Tribolium castaneum: one gene and its partners. The protein of the gene in region 1 binds, or shares a complex with, the protein of each later gene. Links are inferred from orthologs where the notes say so. Each region holds a gene or a part of one and is shown on either strand. Other genes may lie near its edges. The genes, in order: Nup107, Nup54, Nup75, Mgtor and PCID2.

What was found.
Region 2: Nup107 (region 1) and Nup54 share a complex: the UniProt entries of both Drosophila melanogaster proteins name them as parts of the nuclear pore complex. The link is inferred for Tribolium castaneum from reciprocal best matches to the Drosophila melanogaster genes Nup107 and Nup54.
Region 3: Nup107 (region 1) and Nup75 share a complex: the UniProt entries of both Drosophila melanogaster proteins name them as parts of the nuclear pore complex. The link is inferred for Tribolium castaneum from reciprocal best matches to the Drosophila melanogaster genes Nup107 and Nup75.
Region 4: Nup107 (region 1) and Mgtor share a complex: the UniProt entries of both Drosophila melanogaster proteins name them as parts of the nuclear pore complex. The link is inferred for Tribolium castaneum from reciprocal best matches to the Drosophila melanogaster genes Nup107 and Mgtor.
Region 5: Nup107 (region 1) and PCID2 share a complex: the UniProt entries of both Drosophila melanogaster proteins name them as parts of the nuclear pore complex. The link is inferred for Tribolium castaneum from reciprocal best matches to the Drosophila melanogaster genes Nup107 and PCID2.

Annotation. Positions count from the first base shown.
Region 1 is NC_087395.1:26,510,019-26,514,138, forward strand, and holds the start of Nup107 (nuclear pore complex protein Nup107), read left to right. Parts: upstream 1-1,283; 5' UTR 1,284-1,373; coding exon 1,374-2,237; intron 2,238-2,287; coding exon 2,288-2,449; intron 2,450-2,689; coding exon 2,690-3,150; intron 3,151-3,426; coding exon 3,427-4,120. UniProt on the Drosophila melanogaster protein: Plays a role in nuclear pore complex (NPC) assembly and maintenance. Required for nuclear import of Mad. Mediates the association between the nuclear pore complex and a subset of active chromatin regions adjacent to lamin-associated domains.
Region 2 is NC_087397.1:2,066,866-2,071,096, reverse strand, and holds the start of Nup54 (probable nucleoporin Nup54), read left to right. Parts: upstream 1-1,372; 5' UTR 1,373-1,472; coding exon 1,473-1,530; intron 1,531-1,986; exon of another isoform or gene 1,987-2,662; intron 2,663-2,712; exon of another isoform or gene 2,713-3,456; coding exon 3,457-4,197; intron 4,198-4,231. Other genes in the region: sra (protein sarah), read right to left, coding at 266-738, 784-976. UniProt on the Drosophila melanogaster protein: Component of the nuclear pore complex (NPC), a complex required for the trafficking across the nuclear envelope. Essential for the nuclear import of nuclear localization signal (NLS)-containing proteins in an importin alpha/importin beta-dependent manner.
Region 3 is NC_087399.1:876,562-880,943, forward strand, and holds Nup75 (nuclear pore complex protein Nup85), read left to right. Parts: upstream 1-1,518; 5' UTR 1,519-1,627; coding exon 1,628-1,651; exon of another isoform or gene 1,652-1,696; coding exon 1,697-2,138; exon of another isoform or gene 2,139-2,358; coding exon 2,359-2,612; exon of another isoform or gene 2,613-2,658; coding exon 2,659-2,781; exon of another isoform or gene 2,782-2,835; coding exon 2,836-3,054; exon of another isoform or gene 3,055-3,187; coding exon 3,188-3,303; exon of another isoform or gene 3,304-3,353; coding exon 3,354-3,890; exon of another isoform or gene 3,891-3,943; coding exon 3,944-4,148; 3' UTR 4,149-4,198; downstream 4,199-4,382. Other genes in the region: mRpS23 (small ribosomal subunit protein mS23), read left to right, coding at 1-38; uncharacterized protein LOC660898, read left to right, coding at 69-433, 654-897, 947-1,383, 1,429-1,516; oxidized purine nucleoside triphosphate hydrolase, read right to left, coding at 4,204-4,382. UniProt on the Drosophila melanogaster protein: Component of the nuclear pore complex (NPC) that seems to be required for NPC assembly and maintenance. Required for nuclear import of phosphorylated Mad via importin msk.
Region 4 is NC_087394.1:8,232,467-8,236,048, forward strand, and holds part of Mgtor (nucleoprotein TPR), read left to right. Parts: intron 1-1,130; coding exon 1,131-1,538; intron 1,539-1,595; coding exon 1,596-1,782; intron 1,783-3,582. UniProt on the Drosophila melanogaster protein: Component of the nuclear pore complex (NPC), a complex required for the trafficking across the nuclear envelope. Functions as a scaffolding element in the nuclear phase of the NPC.
Region 5 is NC_087397.1:8,459,932-8,463,517, forward strand, and holds PCID2 (PCI domain-containing protein 2), read right to left. Parts: upstream 2,076-3,586; 5' UTR 1,921-2,075; intron 1,855-1,920; 5' UTR 1,843-1,854; coding exon 646-1,842; 3' UTR 557-645; downstream 1-556. UniProt on the Drosophila melanogaster protein: Required for the export of nuclear mRNAs and involved in mRNA trafficking in the cytoplasm.

The DNA of each region.
Region 1 (4,120 bases):
TGGACACGGACTCGTGTTTTTAGTGCCTTTTATTTGGCAACATCTGTGATCTCTAGCTGATAAGATACAAGTGTTCGATTGTTGAATTATGCAAAGACTACTTAACTATTTTTATACCTTATTACATTGTTATTATTGAATAAGATTGTACAACTTGATACGCGTACGTGTTGAAATATTTATTTTCTTTTGTAAGCTTAGACTAGTGCTAACAACGAGTATTTATTACAACATTTTAGTACAATAATATTTAATTAATAATAAGCGTAGTGTTTGTTCAAAGAGTTTAAGCTACCAACGAAAATATAATATAAATAAAAAAAATTTTGTGGATTTTTGCCTCCTTTAAATGCCTACAACCGAAGTTATTGACAAAAAAAAACGCTCCAAGTACTGAAAAGTCGCCCAATATTTCCAGAATCTTAAGTCAATGAATTTCCGAAAATACAAATACATACCACTAATGTGCAGTAATCTAATTTTTGTTGAAAAGCGTACAATTTACCTCACTTTGTGCTTAAAATGTACTTTTCCTAACCACAAATGAATTGACAAATATTTGGAAAGTGATGTTTTTTACAAGTTTTCAAGAAAACTTGCTTTTTCACCAATTTCCAAAAATAATGCCCACAATAATGTGCAATAATCTAATATTTTGTTGAAAAACATGCAAGTTACCTTACTTTGTGCTTGAAACTTCCAAATTAACACTGAACTTCTAAACTAACACTTAACACTTCATTCTTCCAAATCCTGATTGTCACAGTAACTGAATTTAGGAATATCCGGGGAAAAACTGGTGTTTTTTTTCCACAATTTATAAAAAAAACGTAATTAAGGTAACTTTTTCACAAATTTTTCATAAATGTAGACAAAAAAGATCCGGGCACACACGAGAGACGCGATAATGGAAAAAGTGTTGCCAACCAAATTCACTGAATTTCCGAAAATAGTACCAATAATGTGCTATAATGTTAAATTTTGTTAAAAAAACATGCACCTTACCTTACTTTGTCACTGGAATCACCAAATTATGTAAAAATTACACTTAACACTAAGTAACATCATTTTTCCAAATTCAGTATTCACACATGATTTACAAATTTTTGAAAAAAACCGGTGTTTCCTACCACAATTTATAAATTGAACTTAATTAAGTTACGTAATTCAACACTTTTTTCACCAATTTTCCTTCAATTTGAACAAAAAACACGATAAACACAAACAGACGCGATAATTTGAAACAAATGACGATCGAGGAAAAGAAAAACTGTTACCAACCTGAATCTAGGGACTTTGCAACGCTCTGAGGCAACGCTAGACTTGTTTTTTGAGGTTATGCAACGGCTTTTTGTGTGTGTTTTTTATTAAAAATGGATAATGATTTGGAACGGTCGGTGCGTCTTCTCGAAGACGCTCTCCAGACCCCCACAAAAGGGCTATTTAAGGTCTCGACCGCAACTCCAAAGCGTGAAAAACCTAACCTCAGCTTTACAATAAACCCCGAAGACTTAACCGGCCTGGAATATGGAAGTGTTTATCAAAACACCTTGTCTTTATTTGTCGATGATGACAAAACGGTCACCGGGTCGGTGATCCAAGCAGGAACTCCATGGAAAAACACTGTTAATAATTTATATACAGAGTTTGCGGATATCCTGCAGGGGTCCACCGGAGGCCTTGATATCCTGGACGTGGCCGAAGACTTGGCGAGGTGTTGTAGTGACGCTTTGGCGGTGGTTAAGTCACTGAAAGCCAAAGTGGCCACTAGTGAATTAGCCGAAGAGAAATGGCTCGAAAATGAGCGGAATAATTGGAGACTGCTGTATGTCCTGTACCAGGATCGGATCCAGGCCCAGAACCACAGTAAGGAAGGGTTTGAGGAGGATTTCGGGAGCAGTGAAAAGAACTGTGTGTGCGAACTGTTCAAACGAGAGAATTTGGTTAGGGAAAGCCAGTTGGTGATCGATTGGCTCGAGAGGAACGCTCTGGAGAAGGGGGACCCCATTTTAATGCACTCAGACTGGACGTATGGATGGGAACACACTTTGCATCAATTGCTAGCACCTGATGCTATTGCAATTGGGAGTAATGTGGATATTATCAAGAACATACATCCAGATGCGCCACAGTTTCAGCGCTTATCGCTGCACCACTTGGATTACGACAATGACAAAAAACTATGTCAGAGAATTTTTATGGAAATTAGGTGCGGCAACCTTGAGGGCGCCCAGGAAGTTTGTGCTGTTTTCAGCCTTTTATTATTTATTCAATAATTAAATTTCAGTTATGTTACAACAGTGGTTATCCATGGCGCGCTGCGATGTTAGAAGGCTGGAAGCTTTTTCATAATCCCAACCTGGAAACAAGTCTTGAAGAGTATAAAGACGTAGAAGGGAACCAAAGGCGGGATTTGTGGAAATCTTGCGCATTAGATTATTGTCATAGGGTAAGTTTTTCGTTCCACAGCCTCTTTGACAGTTCGGGAACTTCGCTATCTTTTTTTTTGATACCATTGTTACTAGATAAACCGATGTCACTTTGGCAGTTGTAAAACATGTATTTATTTTATGTTTATTTATTTAAAATTTCTGGAAAATAATTAACCAAATTTAGGACTGAAGACGAAGTTTCGTATCTATCAAGGAGGCTGTTTTATAAATTTGAAAAAACTACTAAAAAATTTCAGTCAAACTTGAACATTTATGAAAAAGCCGCCATTGGTAGTCTTTGTGGTTTCTTGGAGGGCATTTTGCCCGTTTGTACCACATGGGAGGACCACCTGTGGGCCTACATGCGAACCATGGTCGATATTCGTGTTGAATCGGAAATTCGCGACTCAATCATTAAAAACTACATACCACTACCTGAAGAATATTGGGAACAAAAGAAATCATTAAGTGAAATTTTTACAATTTTGGAAGCCTCGAAAAATATTGACATTGCAAAAGAAGCGCATGAAATTGATCATGTAATTCAGAAACTTGTCATTTTAGACGAAATTCCCACACTGATACGCCTCCTAGATCAGTGGAGTGAAGATCTAAGTGTTACGACACAATCTCTTCGATTTTATGCTCACTTAGTTTTGTTTTTTGAAAGCGTCGGAGACTCCACTCATAGAAAAACGTGTGAAAAAATCGTCGAAACGTAAGTTTTCTTGGTTGTATAACTCGACTTAAGGCCGGGCGCTTTAGTCTCCCGGTATGGTGACTATAAAAAAATTTGTGTCTAGTGTATTTTATGTTCTTAATGTTGACCATAATCTCGTCAGAACTAAATTATTGCTTTTAATATTTTTACCACTTTTTTATAGCTACGGTATTATTTTTTGTTTTATTTGACTTCGAGCTTCTATAAAAAAACATAAAGTGTTTGCTACTCACCGCTGCGTTGCTTGTGTTTTAATATCATTTGTTTAATTAGATATATCGAGCGTTTGAGCGAAATGAACGAAACCCAGCTTGTGGCCTTCTACGTGAGCAAGCTGGGAAAATCCAAACAAATCCAACTTTACGCCAAACACTGCGAAAAACTGCTTTCGACTGAGCAACGCAAAAACGCCCTTACTTACGCTGAAGATTTCAGTTTGGACGTATTTGCTATAACGCAACAAATCGTCGAAATTATAACAAGCCGACCGTCTGAATCCGAACTTCCCGGTAATCTCCAAGGTAAAATCACCGAAATCGACGAACTCAAAATCTCCGCTATTGATTGGCTGATGTTTTACGAGGAGCAACGAGCCGAAGCATTGGCTCAAACCAATTCTATTATTTTCAAATTTCTGATTTTGGGCAAATTAGAAGCAGCCCAATTGGCAATCAATAAAATTCCTTACGATTCTATAGAGAAGATACGCAGCGAAGAGCAGATTCATCAGATTGTTAAGAATTATTTGAGTTATAAAGCGTATTTGGATGCACATGAGGCGTTTAACGAGTGGTTTAGACAGTATAGGAATAAGCCGATGCCACCACCTGAACTGCCCGAAAATGCACAATTTACTGAAAAAGTTGCTCATAATCATAAAGTCTCGCAGTTTAATGCCGAAGCGGAACGGTGGAAATTGACGACATCGCATTCAGCAAAAAGGGCCAAAACTTTATTATATAATGTC
Region 2 (4,231 bases), on another chromosome or scaffold:
AGATTCCTGTTTGAAGTTGCCAGCTGATGGCATTAAACTCAGGGCCAACCTGTCTCAAATTCCCGCTGAGTACTTTAGGAAATTATCTTTTATTAGCAACACCTTTATTATCACATTGAGTTAAATTAATGATACAGTTACAACCAACAAATGAATCACGTAATTCCATAATAAATGAGTGACAGATTCTACATAGAGAGAAATTGACATATTGAGAGGCTCTGAAGCTCACACTTAAAATAACCTTGAAGACCTGTACAAATCATTAACTCCGTTCCGGACACGACGTCTGTGGCATCCTGCCTTTGGCCCCCACGCCGTCCGCCCCCAGGGCCGTGTGCACCACGATGCTGGGCTGGCCGGGGGAGGGGGGGTGCACCTCGTGCGACGCCCCCGGCGTGAGGGTGGCCAAAGCTGCAAGAAGGTCATGATTGATAATGGGCTCACCTTCCGGCCGGGGCTCCCAGTCGAGGGGGGGCGACGCCGGCGGCGAGATTAGGAACTGCTTGAAGGGGGCTGGCGGCTGCAGGCTGGGGTTTTTGACGGGGGTGACGGGTTGAGCAAAGTAACACGTAATCACTGAGTCGTTGATTTTGTATTGGTGGAGCTGAATGCGGGCGCTGGCGGCTGCCACGGGCGTCTGGAAGTTCACTCTCAGTCTTCGGAAACTGCGCAGCCACTGGAATGTCACGTCCGGGTCGAAGTTCCGGAACAGGTTCTCCATTTCGCGCTTTTTCTCTGCAATTTTACGGTCAGATCGGGTGAGGGCTGGGGGCGGATTACCGGGCGAGGTGAAGACACTGTCGTGGATGTTGGTGACGATGAGGGACGTCGGCAGGTCCTCGAACTCGTCGTCGGTCACATGCTCGGGGCTGTCGATGTCGGCCTCCGCCAGCAGGTTGGGGTGCACGTTGGGAAGGCCGTCTTGGTCGTTAATGATGATATCGTCGTCCATTTCGCCGTTGCTTTCAGCCATTGAAAAATTGGATTAAATTCACCGACACAGGATCTACCGCGGTTTAAACCCCATAAAACAATGCGCACTTTTTCGGCTAAACTAATCAAGGCTAACTCTTACGCTACTAAATTTTAACACAAAAACATTGCAATATCAAAGTGCAAAAAACACAACCCAACAATTGCAAATGCCAAATGTCAGGAATGAATGACACTTGACAAGGGGATGAAAGCCGAAAGTTCGCCAGCCCGAATTGAAATACAAAGGAATGAGCTTAAAAAAACGTAAAACCCTGAAATGGATAGATTTCCAGATAATTAACATAAACACATGAGCGACTTTTTGATTTCGTATTTTTTTGTACAGAAAACGCTGAAATTTTGTGAAATTGCCGGTGTATAACCTAGGTTTGAAGTTTGACAGTTCTGTCAATTCGTTAAGTTCAATTTGTGAATACATAAAAAATTGTAATTACTATTTTTATATAAATACTAACGTTAAATTTAATGCAGTTATGGCATTTTCGTTCGGAAATGCAAACCAGTCGACTTTTGGAAGCCCGGCAAATAAACGTAAGTTTTAGAACCGTAAGAAAGTTAGGTTAAGTTCTTTCTATTTTGTTATTTGGTATTCACGGTTTTATTTATTTTCCCTTTAAACCGTAATTAATGAGATTTAATTTTGCCCAAAACGCCTGACTAATGTTTGTGTTCTTAATTTTTAACCAGAAAAAATCGAAAAAGTGGCAGCGTTTTGTACCATTCAGACTCAACAATACAAATCACCACACTTTTTACAGATAAAATGTTAATTGGTGTTTTAAATGGTTATAAAATTTAATTGTGATGATTGTTAACGTGTGAGTAACAATTCAACAATTTTTGTTTGAAACAAATCGCTAAAAAATGTTTTGTTTAGTGTTTAACTTAAATTTTTTGTCACGTCTGTGCTGCACAGTACACAAAAGTAATTTCATTACTTAACTGATAAAACATGAAAAACTGGACGTGTTCAATAAAAAACCTAGATTATAATTTATAAACCAAGAATTTATTTCGGCAATAACATTTTGAGGATATAAATAAACCTACCTAAGCGAGTAACAAAAATATAATGATAGTAAAATATAACAGATTATCACAAATATAATTAATACGATTTCATTCTTCCGTTTGAGATGGTAACTTGGCTCAAATCGGTTGCACAATCAAGCGATCCTGAACGGCTGGCTTTATATCGCTTATAAACGACGATAAGAATGACGATAATTAAGAGCAGACTGACGATTATAACTCCCAAAACAACGTACAAAGTTTTTCCCTCAACGTCGTATCCTTCGTAATATATTTGGTTCGAAACATCCGTAGTTGAAGAAAATACGTCAAGTGGGGTTGAAGTTGTATTTTGTGTACTGTTTTTTATTTCGGCCACTGCTGAAGTGATGTTGTTTTCAAAAATACCGATTGTTTCGGTCGTACTGTCGGTCACTTCGGTTATCACGGTGGTAATCGTTGTTGTAATATTTTGAGAAATCTCAGGAGTGGTAGCAGTTTCTGCAGTAACCGTACTGTTGGTTATTTCGCTGATGAGGGTAGTAGCTGGGGGAGTGAAACTCTGCCCAATTTTGAGTACGTTTTGATCGTCTGTGACTTGAAGGGTCGTTCCAAAACTTTTAGTAGCCCCTTTGATAGGAAATGAGAATAGCTAGAATCGGAATTTTTAAATCCAACTTGAAAAATAAAAATTAAACTCACCGTAGGGCCCGACATTGTGCTTTTTATTAGCGAAGGAAAAACACTTAACTCTGCAAGAACTTATCGGCGACTGAAAGTTTCTTTCCACGCTTTGAATTTTTATCGCTGGTGTTTATATGTGCGAACACGGTTTTCCTGCTTTCCTTCCATTCGCAGTAAAATAACAACCCGGGGATGAGTCACAAAATGCTGTTTAATGCAATTTCTTGTGGTTGGGATAAATAAAATCCGTCATTTTGTGATAACAAATTGGGAAAGCGGCACTGCAGTCGAAAAAAACTTGTTTTGAAATTATCTACGTGTTTAAATTCTTTTTAAAAAATTTGACTGGAATGACACTTGAAGGATTGAAATAATTTCATTTATTTCGTGTTTATTTCGTTTTTGCATAAATTTAAGTCTTAACAACAGCGTATTTTTTGCACGATAAGTATTCGCATAGTTCAAGTTTGACTTGCATTTTTTACCGAGGAGTAGTTTCCGTTTGGTCATTTCCCCGTAACAAATACTTTTTTCATGGAAATTCTTTTCTTTTCGTTGAAACAACCCAAATAGAAAAATAAATAATTTCAGGATTGTGGTTTCGTAGCCATTTCCTTTGGAAAACTACAAATTTCGCTGAATTTATTCAATTTATTCGATTTTTCCTGAATTAAAACGCACACTTCTTATCGTCTTAGATTATTTATTAATTTTTGTAAACACCTAGTCATAGTTTTATGTTTTTCCAATGTTTATCCACAGCCACCGCATTCGGTACCCCATTTGGGGTAACCACCACCACGGCTAGTACCGGCTTCGGCAGTTTCGGCTCTTCCTTCGGAGCCACTTCGCAGCCGTCGACCGGTTTCGGCTCAACTTTCGGAGCCCCAGCTCAATCTTCAGGTTTCGGTAGTACTTTCGGTACTCCTGCAACTTCCACTCCAGCATTTGGTTCGACTTTCGGAGCCCCAGCATCAACCTCAGCCCCGACATTCGGTACCGGCTTCGGTCAATCGACCGGCGGCGGCCTTTTCGGTACTTCCACAACCAAACCAACCCTTTTCGGAACTCCCACCACTTCAACCTCGTTATTTTCGACCCCTAGTTCGGCCCCCAGTTTATTCGGGAGCGGTACCACCACACAAGCCCCAAGTCTTTTCGGGGGGGTCACCACCTCGACTCCTAGTTTATTCGGAGCTGGCAGTACCCCAGCTCCGAGTTTGTTCGGTACTGCGACAACTTCGGCCCCGAGTTTATTCGGGACTTCGTTCGGGGGCACGGCCACCACTTCGGGGGGGCTGTTTGGGGGGAGTACAACAGGGGGAGGGTTTGGTTTATTCGGGGGTACTACTACGACGAGTGCGCCGTCGTTGTTTGGGGGGTTTGGGGCTACGCAAACAACAGGGGGGTTTGGGGGTTTTGGGACTAGTGGAGGGTTCGGTCAACAGACACAAGGGAGTTTGTTTGGGGGCGGGTTTGGGGCCAAGCCGGCACAACCTCCAGGTAAGTACCCGACTAGCAATTACAGGAACCTGTA
Region 3 (4,382 bases), on another chromosome or scaffold:
AATTAAAAATCAATGTTGTTGATATATTTAAATCGTAGTATTTTTTTGTTAAAATCTAGTCTTAATAAATGTTTTTTGTGACACTTTGTTTTATTTTACGTCAAATTAAAATGGGTAAAAAATTGAGTCGTCCACGAGGTAGCGAACAAAGCACTTATTCCCATATTTTTTATACCGGGAGTATCGAAACTATTCCACCATCAATCACCTATCCTTCGATATGTACTTCCCCCTCGTTTCATTTGTCTGAAAAGCCTTCGGTGTCGAAGTGTGACAGTGAATTGATTCATTACGGCGAACTGCAGAGTATGTACATCAAGTCTCAGACTTTCACAGCTGATCATTTGGCCCCCTTGACCATCAGAACCTCACAGTTAGTGCTGTCGCTTCTGAAGAGGCATTTGGGGCAAATTGTTAGCGACATCCACGCAGGGTACTGTTTTATTTAATTTAATTTTTTTGCCTATTCAAAAAATTCATAACTCAAAAACTAAAATTCGTAGAACAAAACGGTTTATTCCAGTGAATTCAGCGACTCATTTTACGTATCATATGTTTTTTTTACAACACTAGCTTACTCCAGAACGTATTTAAACACTTATTTGAATTTGAAAAATGGTGGATGCGCCGGGTTATTTTCTATTTTTTGGCAGGACATTGAAAATGCCTGATAAAGTGGTAGAAAAGTTTGGGGCTGCAAGTGCCCGGAACCCGAATCAGCAAACAGACACATATACTATCCAAAGACGAATGATCACTCATTTCGTCTCGTTACTTCACGTTCATGAAATGGTTTTAACTTATCTCAAACAGAGACGCATCGAACAAGCGCTCGATTTAATCAAACAAATTGCAGTTAGCCACGCACTTAAGGGAATCACAGTGACTGAATTTCGGGTAAGTCCCGATAATTCTCTAACTTGTTTTGGCAAAATACGACTTGCAGTTAGTGGACTGGTTTATTGTCAATTATTTGATAAAAAATAAAGTAAGCACTGACGAGAACATAAACCACTTGATGCTTTACTTAAGCACCCTTTCAAATTACATTGTGCGATATTTCGAAAGTCAAAGTGTTCGCCATACGATGCTCCGGGACATGACTAGTGTGAAAGTAAACGATCGGAGCAACAAAGCAAGGGAAAACTACCGTTTAATGAAACAGTGGACCTCCAGAATTGAACATTCCAGAGGCCAAATTAAGGATCTAATTGACAAGCTCCTCGCAGATCAAGCCCGCATGCAGGAAGCCAGAGAGGCAGAAATTAGGAGCATTGACACTCAAACGCTCAAAGAAAAAGACTTCATTATGCGATTTTTCGTACGCAAGAAACCGACAGAATCGCGCTCAACGTCACACTCGCACCAGGAGAAGGCCTCAACGTGAGTATCACCCCAATATAACAAATTCAAAATACCCGCCCACAGGATTGACGGCGAAGTTAAATCCCTACCGTTACCGTTCTCGCTACCAACCCAAAACGAAAGTAACCCTAGTAACCGAACAGATTTCTAAATTACCGACCCGGCTAACCGCTCTCCTCAAACAAAATTCGAAAAAAATACGGTTTTTTTGAATGAAAAGGCGCAAAATTTCGTGTTATTTAACGCTTCCCGACCCGTATTAATGGACAATACCGCCAAAACTTTCGTAAGCAGCGATCAATTTTTGAGGTTAGGTCATAATAACTTGTAGGTTATTCCAAATGAGTTATGCCGACGTGCTGGAGTGGCGGCTTCGTGGCTTTCCGTCAACGAATTCGGTGTTTTCGGCCACCAGAAAACACCAAAAGTTGATAAACCGAGTCACTTTGCCCCCTCGGACGCCTCTGTGTTTCAGCTGCGCCCCGACATTATTCTCTTCAAACCAATTTTACGCAAATTGGTAAATGAGGCCAACGGGACGTTTCTAACCCTTCAAGCCCTTGTAGCCACTGAGGGCGACCACAAGGCCGAATTATTGAAACTTAGCCGGCAGTACAGGTCCATAATAAGGGCCTGTTTGGAGAATTTGCAAGACGAGGTGATGCGAGCCGATGGCGATTATCGCGAAGAATTGCAAAATTACATTACGATTTTTTACTCAGTTGAGTGTATTTGGCACTTGTGTGAAATCTTATTTGTTGATGCGGTCCCAGGTGGGTTAGTGACACGGATATCTAAAAGCTAGGATGCGAAACGACGTACAAATAAAACGTCCTGAACTCGGTAGTTTTATCGTTAACTATATTTAAAAAAAATTCCGGACTTTTTTAGGTTCAGAAAATCCGGTAATTTCGTACATCGTTTCCTCCTAAGTTATAGACCTCTGTAGTGACACAAAATTTGGGGATTTTTGCCAAACAGTTGGGGTTTTAGGCAACATTGTTTTGCCCCACTTACTGGACTGGATTCGGTTTCATTTTCCGAAATATGACCGAAATGCGGCAAGTATGTTGGCTGGGGATTTGGGTGGTTTGGAGTCACACCCTGACTATTGGGAAACTGTCATTGGGTCACTATTACAAGGGCGGGTCAAGGTCGTTAGGGCCCTACTTAAATTACACTCAGAAGCTGAGTCACAACCTTTCAGAATTGTGGATCAGTGTCTGAGAGCAATGCCGGTTTATAACGTAAGTAGGCTGGGAGAAATTGACAGGTGTTCATGGCCGACTTTAGATGTTTAGTGGGACTTCAATCGCTGAATTTAATCTACAATGGAATCATTGGGTCGTGGATGTTCAATCGAAAATTGATGCGAAAATGTTTATTTCTTGTTATAATCTCAATTTGATTATGAAGGTTTTGTTTTAAGTGTGTTTGAGTTGGTAGTTTTCTTTATAAGATTTTTTGTAGCTTACGGTTGGTAACGAAATTGCATGGGGGGAAATACAGCAGTATTGCGAGACGTGGTATGAAATGTTAGCCGCGTGGTTATTTTTTACCCAACCTACTGTTAAATCGTTTGAGTTGGGACAGTTTGCCAAACAGTGTATCACGAAAATGTCCATAGGGAATAGAATTAAGCATTTGGATAGGATGTTGTTGGCAGCAATGGAGTTTGATATTTTACAGGTAATATGGCGCCACCTCTGTTAAGTTATTAAATAAAACTGAGACTTTTGAATAATCCTGTATTTTTCGGCTATACTTTTAGTTTTACACTTTTTTGCAAATGTACACATAAATTCTAACATTTCTTTGCCAGGTGATTAAAGAAATCCAAAATATGACAGACAGTGGCTGGTTTGTGAGCCACTTAACCGACCTACTTTACCATTCAGGCCGTCTAAGCGACACAACTATCGAAACTATTGAAAATTTGTGAGTCCCCGATTTTTTTTAAACCGTTTATTTTACAATTATTATTTCAGCCACCCTGATAAATTGCGCGAGTCATTTTTAATCGATTATGGCTCGCTTTTAATGGGCCATAAGTCACTATGGCAGGTCGGTTTAAGCTACTTGGACCACTGTCCCAGCGATGGCCCTGAAGTCACAAAATTACTACTTGCAAGACTGCCTCTAAATTCCGAAATGCGGGCTGAGAAAATTGTGAGAGAGGCTCTGAACCGGAATTTAACCGAAACGGCACAAAGTATTTGTAAAGTGCAAGGAATGGCTTGTAAAAACCGGGGGCGTCTGGGACACGCCCTCGCCTGGGCCCTCAAATCACAAGACGGCACTTTTGTGTCGTTTTTATCGAACAAATTTCTGCGAGAGTATGCCGAAAGTGGCGATTTGAACAGTATTGATCTTTTGGATAATCTCGGATCGTGTATTTTGGCAAGCGATAGGTTGATGTTTTTAGGCAAATATTACGAATTCCAGAAGTTATATCAAGCGAACGAGTACAAAGAAGCCGCCAATTTGCTCGTTTCGTTACTTGAGTCGAAAATAATACCAAACTTGTAAGGGGAAAACACTTAAAATTGCGGTTTTTTATCTAAAGATTATCTTGTAGTTTCTGGAGTATTCTATTAACTGACGCAATACCGCTACTTGAGTGCGAAAAAATGGTTTTTTCCTCAACTGATACCTACATCATTATGCAGTGTTTGGAAGAGCAGGAAAAAACCAAAGACTTGAAAGACAAACTTCCGATCTTGAGACTGTCAGCGACCCGGAATTTAGCACGAGCTTTGGTACACGAAGCCCAATTAAAATGATGATTTTTTTAACAATTTTTTATTAAATAAATACTTTACGTAAACAATAATACTTTTAATTGGCCACTTTAAGTGCACTCGCCAAGTCCTCAAATTCCTCAATTTTCGTATCAGTGATTGTGTCAGGGTCACTGTAAGTCACTCTGGCCGCAAAAAATTTCTCTTTTAACATAAGGGGGTACCATTGGGGCGAATCAGGCCACATTTTCGCATAGGGAATAGCGGAAAAATCGT
Region 4 (3,582 bases), on another chromosome or scaffold:
TTAGTTTCTCTTGAACTATCTCGTTTATGTGCGAAATTTGATCAAATTAAGCCGAAAAACTACAACAAAATAATAATCTGTTGTCGAGTTTCAATTTTAAATTCACCAAATTAAGTCGAAAGATACAGTATTTTTGCTTTTTTTGATTGGTTAACATACTAAGTTTTTCTCTCGAGGAATTTCACTAAAGCATGCTGAAAAAGCGCCAAAATTGATCGAATTTAATATTAATTTTTTTGTCAGTCACATTAGACGTTTTTGAATATGAAACTTATTTATTTTGAAATGATTTTATTTATTTTTGAGTGAGATTTCGTCAAAAATAATCTGAAAAATTACAAAATTTGGTTGAAAAAGGAATTTTCCCTTCTTGTTGCAAGATTTTAAATATGTTTCTGAGTTGAACCTGAAAAATCATGTAAATTATCTCAAATAATTTCAGTTTTTTTTAAACAGTTATTACATATTTAACAAAATTAAAGAAAAGAAATACGATGTTTTTAATTTTTTTTTTTGTGAAACAGAAAAATTTTACTTTACAGACACTTATAAAGTGTAAAAGTTTGTTGCTAAAAGAAGTCCTATTTGGTCAGAAAAAAAAAACAAAGGAAGAAAGAAAGCACTAAGAATGTTTTAAAAAATATGACTGACGTAAAGAGTTACTTTAGCTGTGATAACGTCACAGTTTAAATTTGTTTGCACGCTGTACAGTTTTTGGTTTACAACTGATGTAGCGAAAGATTTTAAAAACTATTAGATTTAACGGTGAATTAAAAACAGCAGATTGAAATTGATTTTGTCATCTTTACTGCCCCTCCATGTAGATATATGGAGCTATTTTACAGAGAACTATGTTCACTGTTCGAATTATCAAATACAGATTCGAAGATGTTATGTATTATTTATTATTTATTAGTTGTTTCATCGAAACTAATAAATCGACTCTAACTGCATTCCCTAGCATTTCTGTTTTTTGTTTTTTTTAATGTTTTACGTAAGAACAGACCAGAAAAGGCGACTTAAAATTAATCTTTTTTTTGAAAAATTGTATGTGAGTATTTGAATTTTTGCAGTTCTCTTGTTGAAATTAGTTTAAATTATGTCCTATTTACATGTTGGTAATTGTTTAGTTGCAGTCTGCGCCCCAACAACAAGCTGTTGCTTTAGTCCTGCCAAGGGTAGAACCCCCAAGTAGTGGACCTACCCAAGAACAAGGAACCAGCAGCAGTAGCAGTTCAAACACAGTCACAACAACCCAAGCCGGCCTAAAACGCCAAAGAGATCCAGACACTGATACTGGTGACGAACAAACAAAAACCCAACAACAAAGTAAAAGAACTAGAGTTCAACAAGCTGGAACTGTAAGCGATAGCGGTCTAGAGGTAGAATATCAAGTTCCAACAAGCAGTCAGCGAGATCATGACGACGATAACGTGATAGTTGTTGAAAGTGACGAAGAAGGTGGTGCTGATGAAGGTGAAGGTGCAGACGATGAGCCGGACGATCCTGATACGGAAGGCTATGATTTGGAAGTAATGGTATGTGATGAGGCGGGTGAAGAGAGCAGTGATTTTACCTTGTCCTTAAACTTTAAGGAACAAGATAACTACGAAGACGCCGATTGTCAAGACGTTGAAGATGAAGAAGGCGGGAATGAAGTGGAGGTTATTGAAGATTCGAGCGAGGTGCCGAATCAGAGCGAAAGATCATTGCAGGAGGAAGCGTCTCAAGAGGAAAGCGTTGAACCAGCGCAGCCCGAAGCTACAAGTAGTGGCACTGACGGTACGTTTAAAAAAATTAAATATTTTGGGCCTAACTGCACCGGTTCTGCTTAATGTTAATAAACATTAACATGCCAAATTTATTTATTTGGTGACCGATAAAATACTCTTCATCCCAGTAAAACATTTTTTTAAGTTTACAAATTTTGTGAAAAATTCATTTTACGTAACTTTTTTTTAAAAATGTTAATAAACACAAGATTAAAGTAACTATAATAAAGTCAAATTGGCCAGATCGGATTTTAAGATTTGTGAAAATCAAATACCCAGCGACACCAAGAAATAAAACTCCAGAAGAAGTTGGATGTTCTAAAAAAATTAAGTAATAATAATAATAATATCTAAATATGGACAAAATATAATCCTAATTTTTCAACGAAACTTCTAGGGTCAAAATATCTACAAAGCAGTTATTTTAAAATATTGGTTAGGTGAACAAATTAAAAAAATCTCCGAACTAAAAAAATGTTTTTCTCGCTTAAATGTTTTTACCACTTGTTTTCTAAAATAACCGAAAAAAAAGACAGATGGCGATCAAAAGACTCTCCCCAGAAACGACACGAGCAACGCAATGAACTTTGGGAGATTTTAAGTTAAAAACAACAGTGTTTTGTTAAATTAGTTGAAAATTAATATTTTGTAATAAATATCAAAAACCCAAAACGAATTTTTAAGTTTACTGATAAATAATGCGACTTCTACATCAATTACAGTACTTCAATAACAAATTAAAAAATTTTCAACGCATATAAATATGCTTTTGAATTATCTTGCAAAAACCTAGACTGCTTACTTTAAAAAAAAACTGAGTAAAGTTCCTTTCAAGATCAAAATTTACGCATTTTTTTAAAGCAATTACCAAAATTCTAAAACGGAATTGTTAAATTTACTGATAAAAACGCGACTTTTTCTTCAATATCTCTGATAAAGCAAATTTCTTTCAACGCATATCAACTATGCTTTTGAATTATCCTGCAAAAACCAAAACCGATTACTTTAAAAATAACTGAATAGTTTTTTAAGGTCAACATTTATGCATTTTTCTTTTTTTAAGATGTTTACGTTTTTTCAAAATATGGGAACGCATGGGCTTGTAGTATTAAAAAACCTTTAATTTCTTGTATAATGCTTGAAATTCTGTTGGGTATTAAGAGAGTAAATTTGCTTTAAATATGCTAACTTTGAGTCAGGTTTATTAAAAGAAATTTTTTGCTACAAAAAGAAAAAAACACCAACTTATGATTTCAACCTTAGGATTGATATCCGTAATTTCAATAAAAAAAAATCTTTTTTATCCTGAGCAACCATCTACATGACACATCACACATTATAGTGGTAACGTTGAAAATTGGATAAACTACAATCCAATAAATTTAAAACAGTCCCTTGAAAGAATTCAAATTTATGAAAAAGTTTTTGAAATTATATATACAGTTAAAAGAGTTACGTTGAGTTGAAAAATCAGCTCAGTGGACGTGTGTTTAGTTAACTACTGCTTTTATGTTCAACAATATCATTTAATAAATCAGCCACTCCAGAAATAATGCAACCTGATACCGACATTTTTAAAATAATTTTAGTAATGTAAACTTTCTTTCAAAATACACGATTCAGTTTATATTTAATGTATTTTCCGACATTGGATTTTGGATTTAAAGTAGGAGAGGCTAATCATTTAAATTGAAGTAATTCTTTGGGTTCTAAAATTTACACACATTGCCTTTTAGGCAATAACATAGATTACTATTGATAACTGACGTACTAGAACTATTAAAACAGTTTTGAAGTGTTTTATTAGTTT
Region 5 (3,586 bases), on another chromosome or scaffold:
ATCATAGAATGGATTAACAACTATATAATAGTGACATTTTGTTTGGAAATAATTTATAATAAAAAACTAAATAGTTTTTGACTATGATAAAATTTCCATATAAAATGTATGAGTTTAATTTTCGGGTAACAAAGTTACCTATGGGAAAATAAATCCTTTTGTGCAAAATTTCGCAATATGTAATATAATATTTACAGTACATTTAAAGGATGTATTCGGTATTAACTTCGTATCTATTATGTAAAGCTTAAACGAATATTTTTTACCTATATGGGCATAATCATTAGGTGATTTAATATGCATTATTGATTTTCAAAACGATTCGTATCGAGATTAAATCTGAGCAATTTAAAAAAAAACAACTGTAGTTGTGACCTCTTCGAATAACAAAAGCAATTTTTAATAAAATAAAAATTCCATAAACATTTTTAATGCGGTTTTTATTATGCATACAACATTTAGCTTTTTTCTTATGACAGCAGGGTCGCTTAGTCACTTCGCAGTATAGAGATTTATAGACGTTACGTTTATGCTTTAATAAAACACAAAAAACGGGTAGTTTTAACAGTTTATTTCATATGCAATTACAAAATAGTTACAATGCAGGTAGAGAACGACGAATTATACAAACTTATAAAAACTTAATTATGATAGACTTGTAAGTGGCGGAAATGGATTCTGTTTACTAACAACAACCTTCCTATGTTGATGCGAAATGTATCCTTTAATTTTCCCTTCATAAATAAGATTAGCAACAATACATTCTGTTTCATCCAAATCAACATCAGTCTGTCCTAAATACACTAAAGCAGTCTGCAGTGCTTCAATAGGGATTTGATGCGTATTTAGAATCAAATACACCTTTTTAAACAAATTTCTATATGCTATGATTTTCAGTTTATCAACAATCAGATATATTCCACACTTGATGAAAAAGGTTTCGTGCTTTTCCATAATCTCGTCAAACGCTTTGAGATTACCCTGACATACAGCTTGTACTAAATCCCACAACTGGATGACGTCATACTTCTCCAGAACCTCCTTGCTTGGGATATACCCCAACAACATTTTCACAGGAACTAAGTAAATCAATATAAGCGTTTTGTTCTTCTTACTGAGCTTGTGACAATTTTCAAAAGCATAAGTTAAATACTCATCGGCGACTTTATAATCGCTATCAAACATAGCCTTGCGCCCCACAAAATACCGATATGTGATTTGTTGGCTCAGAGAAAAACTCTCTTTAAACGGTGATGACTCAATCGCTCTGATTAAGGGCTTGCACAAATGTAGCTTATTTATCCGAAAATAAACCTTAAACAATTGATTCACCAAAGCCAACATCCCTATCCTCTTTGTATCCTCCTCTGCTGACCTATTATCAGCAGCACACACCCTGAAACAACCCATCAAGCATTCTGCTGCCTTCTCGAGCATTTCGCCGGGCTTCTCATTAATTCCGCTCCTCTGATTCTCGGCTAATTGCGCCAAAAGACGCAAGTCTAAGCACAAGACATACATAATAGGCAAAGACCAATTCTCCTCCTTTTGCGATTGCAAGATCTTAGTGAAAGTTTGCGTCAAATTGCTCTGAATGTTATAAGCCGATAGATAGTCACTCTGGCTTATGGCAAACAGGCATTTTAGGTGCAAAATCACTAATTCGTCGATAGGGGCGGTCAAAAAACGCTCAACTATTCCCTCAGGACTCTCAATGTGGTAATTGGCATAACCTGCATGTTCGTGGCGAAGAGACAGAAAACTGGCCACTTTTGCACCGTCCTGAGACCGCCAATACCTTTCCACAAGTTGTAGGTAATGAGCAACGGACATAAAAGTCATTTTGCTGAAAAACTAAGGTTAGGGGCGTCAGTTAACCGAAACCGCTTCATTTATAAATGAAATTGAACTGTTACTCACGTGATTTAGGCACAAGTGTTATATTTGTTGCTTCCGTTACGCAAAGAACATTATGTCTTACGAGTTTGACGAAAAAATGTTTGAATAAGCTTGAAAATAAACAAGTCTTTGCAATGGTGATAAAATGGCCGATAGGGAGCGGTGCGATTCATACAAGTAAAATCAATAATAATTTCTGTGACCTAACAAAATTTAAGATATTTGAGCTTAATTCGTGTTATATGTCCCATAGTACTAATAATAGGGATTAAATTAATGCAAATCCTGGAAGTAAAATGCCATAAAAACGAAAACTGTTCGTAGACCAGTTCGCAAGCCGCATGTTTTCTTCCCACACAGAGATGGCGCTCCGAGGAACAGCTTGATGCAACTTGACCGGGAACTTATCCAACTTGATTTTATTAAAAAATTTTTAGGAAATTATAAACACAGTCGTGAAAACGTTTTATTATTCTAGTCAAGGATAAATCATAATTTAAAAATCCATTACACAGGAAAGTAATAACTTCAACAATAATGAATTTAAAGCGCCTAGTAATGGAATTTATGGAAAGAAATTATTTACTTCTTTGCTATTTTAAACTTTAATAATGCTTCACGTGCCAGACCCATAAATCAGTATAATAAGCAATTTAAACGTTAATTGTAGTTTACTTTTAGCTCCTTATGAAACAAAAAAATTAAGTACTGTTTATTAGAAACTAAAGCTACACATTACGAACTTAAAAGTATTTGTTTGTATAGTGCTACTTAAAAAACAAAACCATATTTTACAAAAAAAAACTTATAAGTATAAGTAGGTAGACGACGTTTAAATTACAAACAAGTTATGTTTTAAATGATGACCGTACAAAAGCATATAAAAGGTTTTTATGTTCATCTATAAAATTTAAAAACAAATTTTACAGGGTGTCCCAGCAAAAGTATATTTTTACTGCATGACAAGCTAAATAATTACACAGAATTCCAAATTTGCTTTAAATACTTTTAGTATGCCTTATTATGTACCATAAAAAGTTATTTTTTCTATATCTACATTTTATAATTTTAAAATAAAACAATATAAAAAAGCAATATTCTATATCTTGAATGTCTGTGTGATTAATGATTATGATAGTTTGAGAAATGCAACGTAATTATTAACAACTTAAAAAAGAATCAAAAATAAAGAACTATTTAACAGAATTGACACGTTTACTGAAATATGATTCTGATGTAATTTTTTTAGCTGAATTTAAATCCGAAAGTTTTTTTTTTGATTTGGAATAGCCTTCACTGTAAAAAAGACGTTTATGTAAAAAAATTCAAAAATTAATATAAAGCAAATTTGTGTTCACATCTTCATTTCCTCATATTTTTCTTCTGAGTAAAGCTAGAAACTTGAAAATATTTTTAGGCGAACAGAGGGCTCACATCCATATCTAAATTCTGTAAATATTTTATGTAAATATTTTTCCATTTAATGTTCAATAGTAGTGCACTTAATCAACTCGTATTGCATTAAGTTGGTTTGGACTAGTTGATTTCGTTCCGTTTATAAACTATGAAAAATCGAGCCTTCTTTAGATGATTCAGAGCACAATAAAAATCAATTTGTTGAAGTCTGATAAGAATTTGCACTAGACATGCAGTCTGGAGCAGTCCAACACGATAGAAATTTAAACAA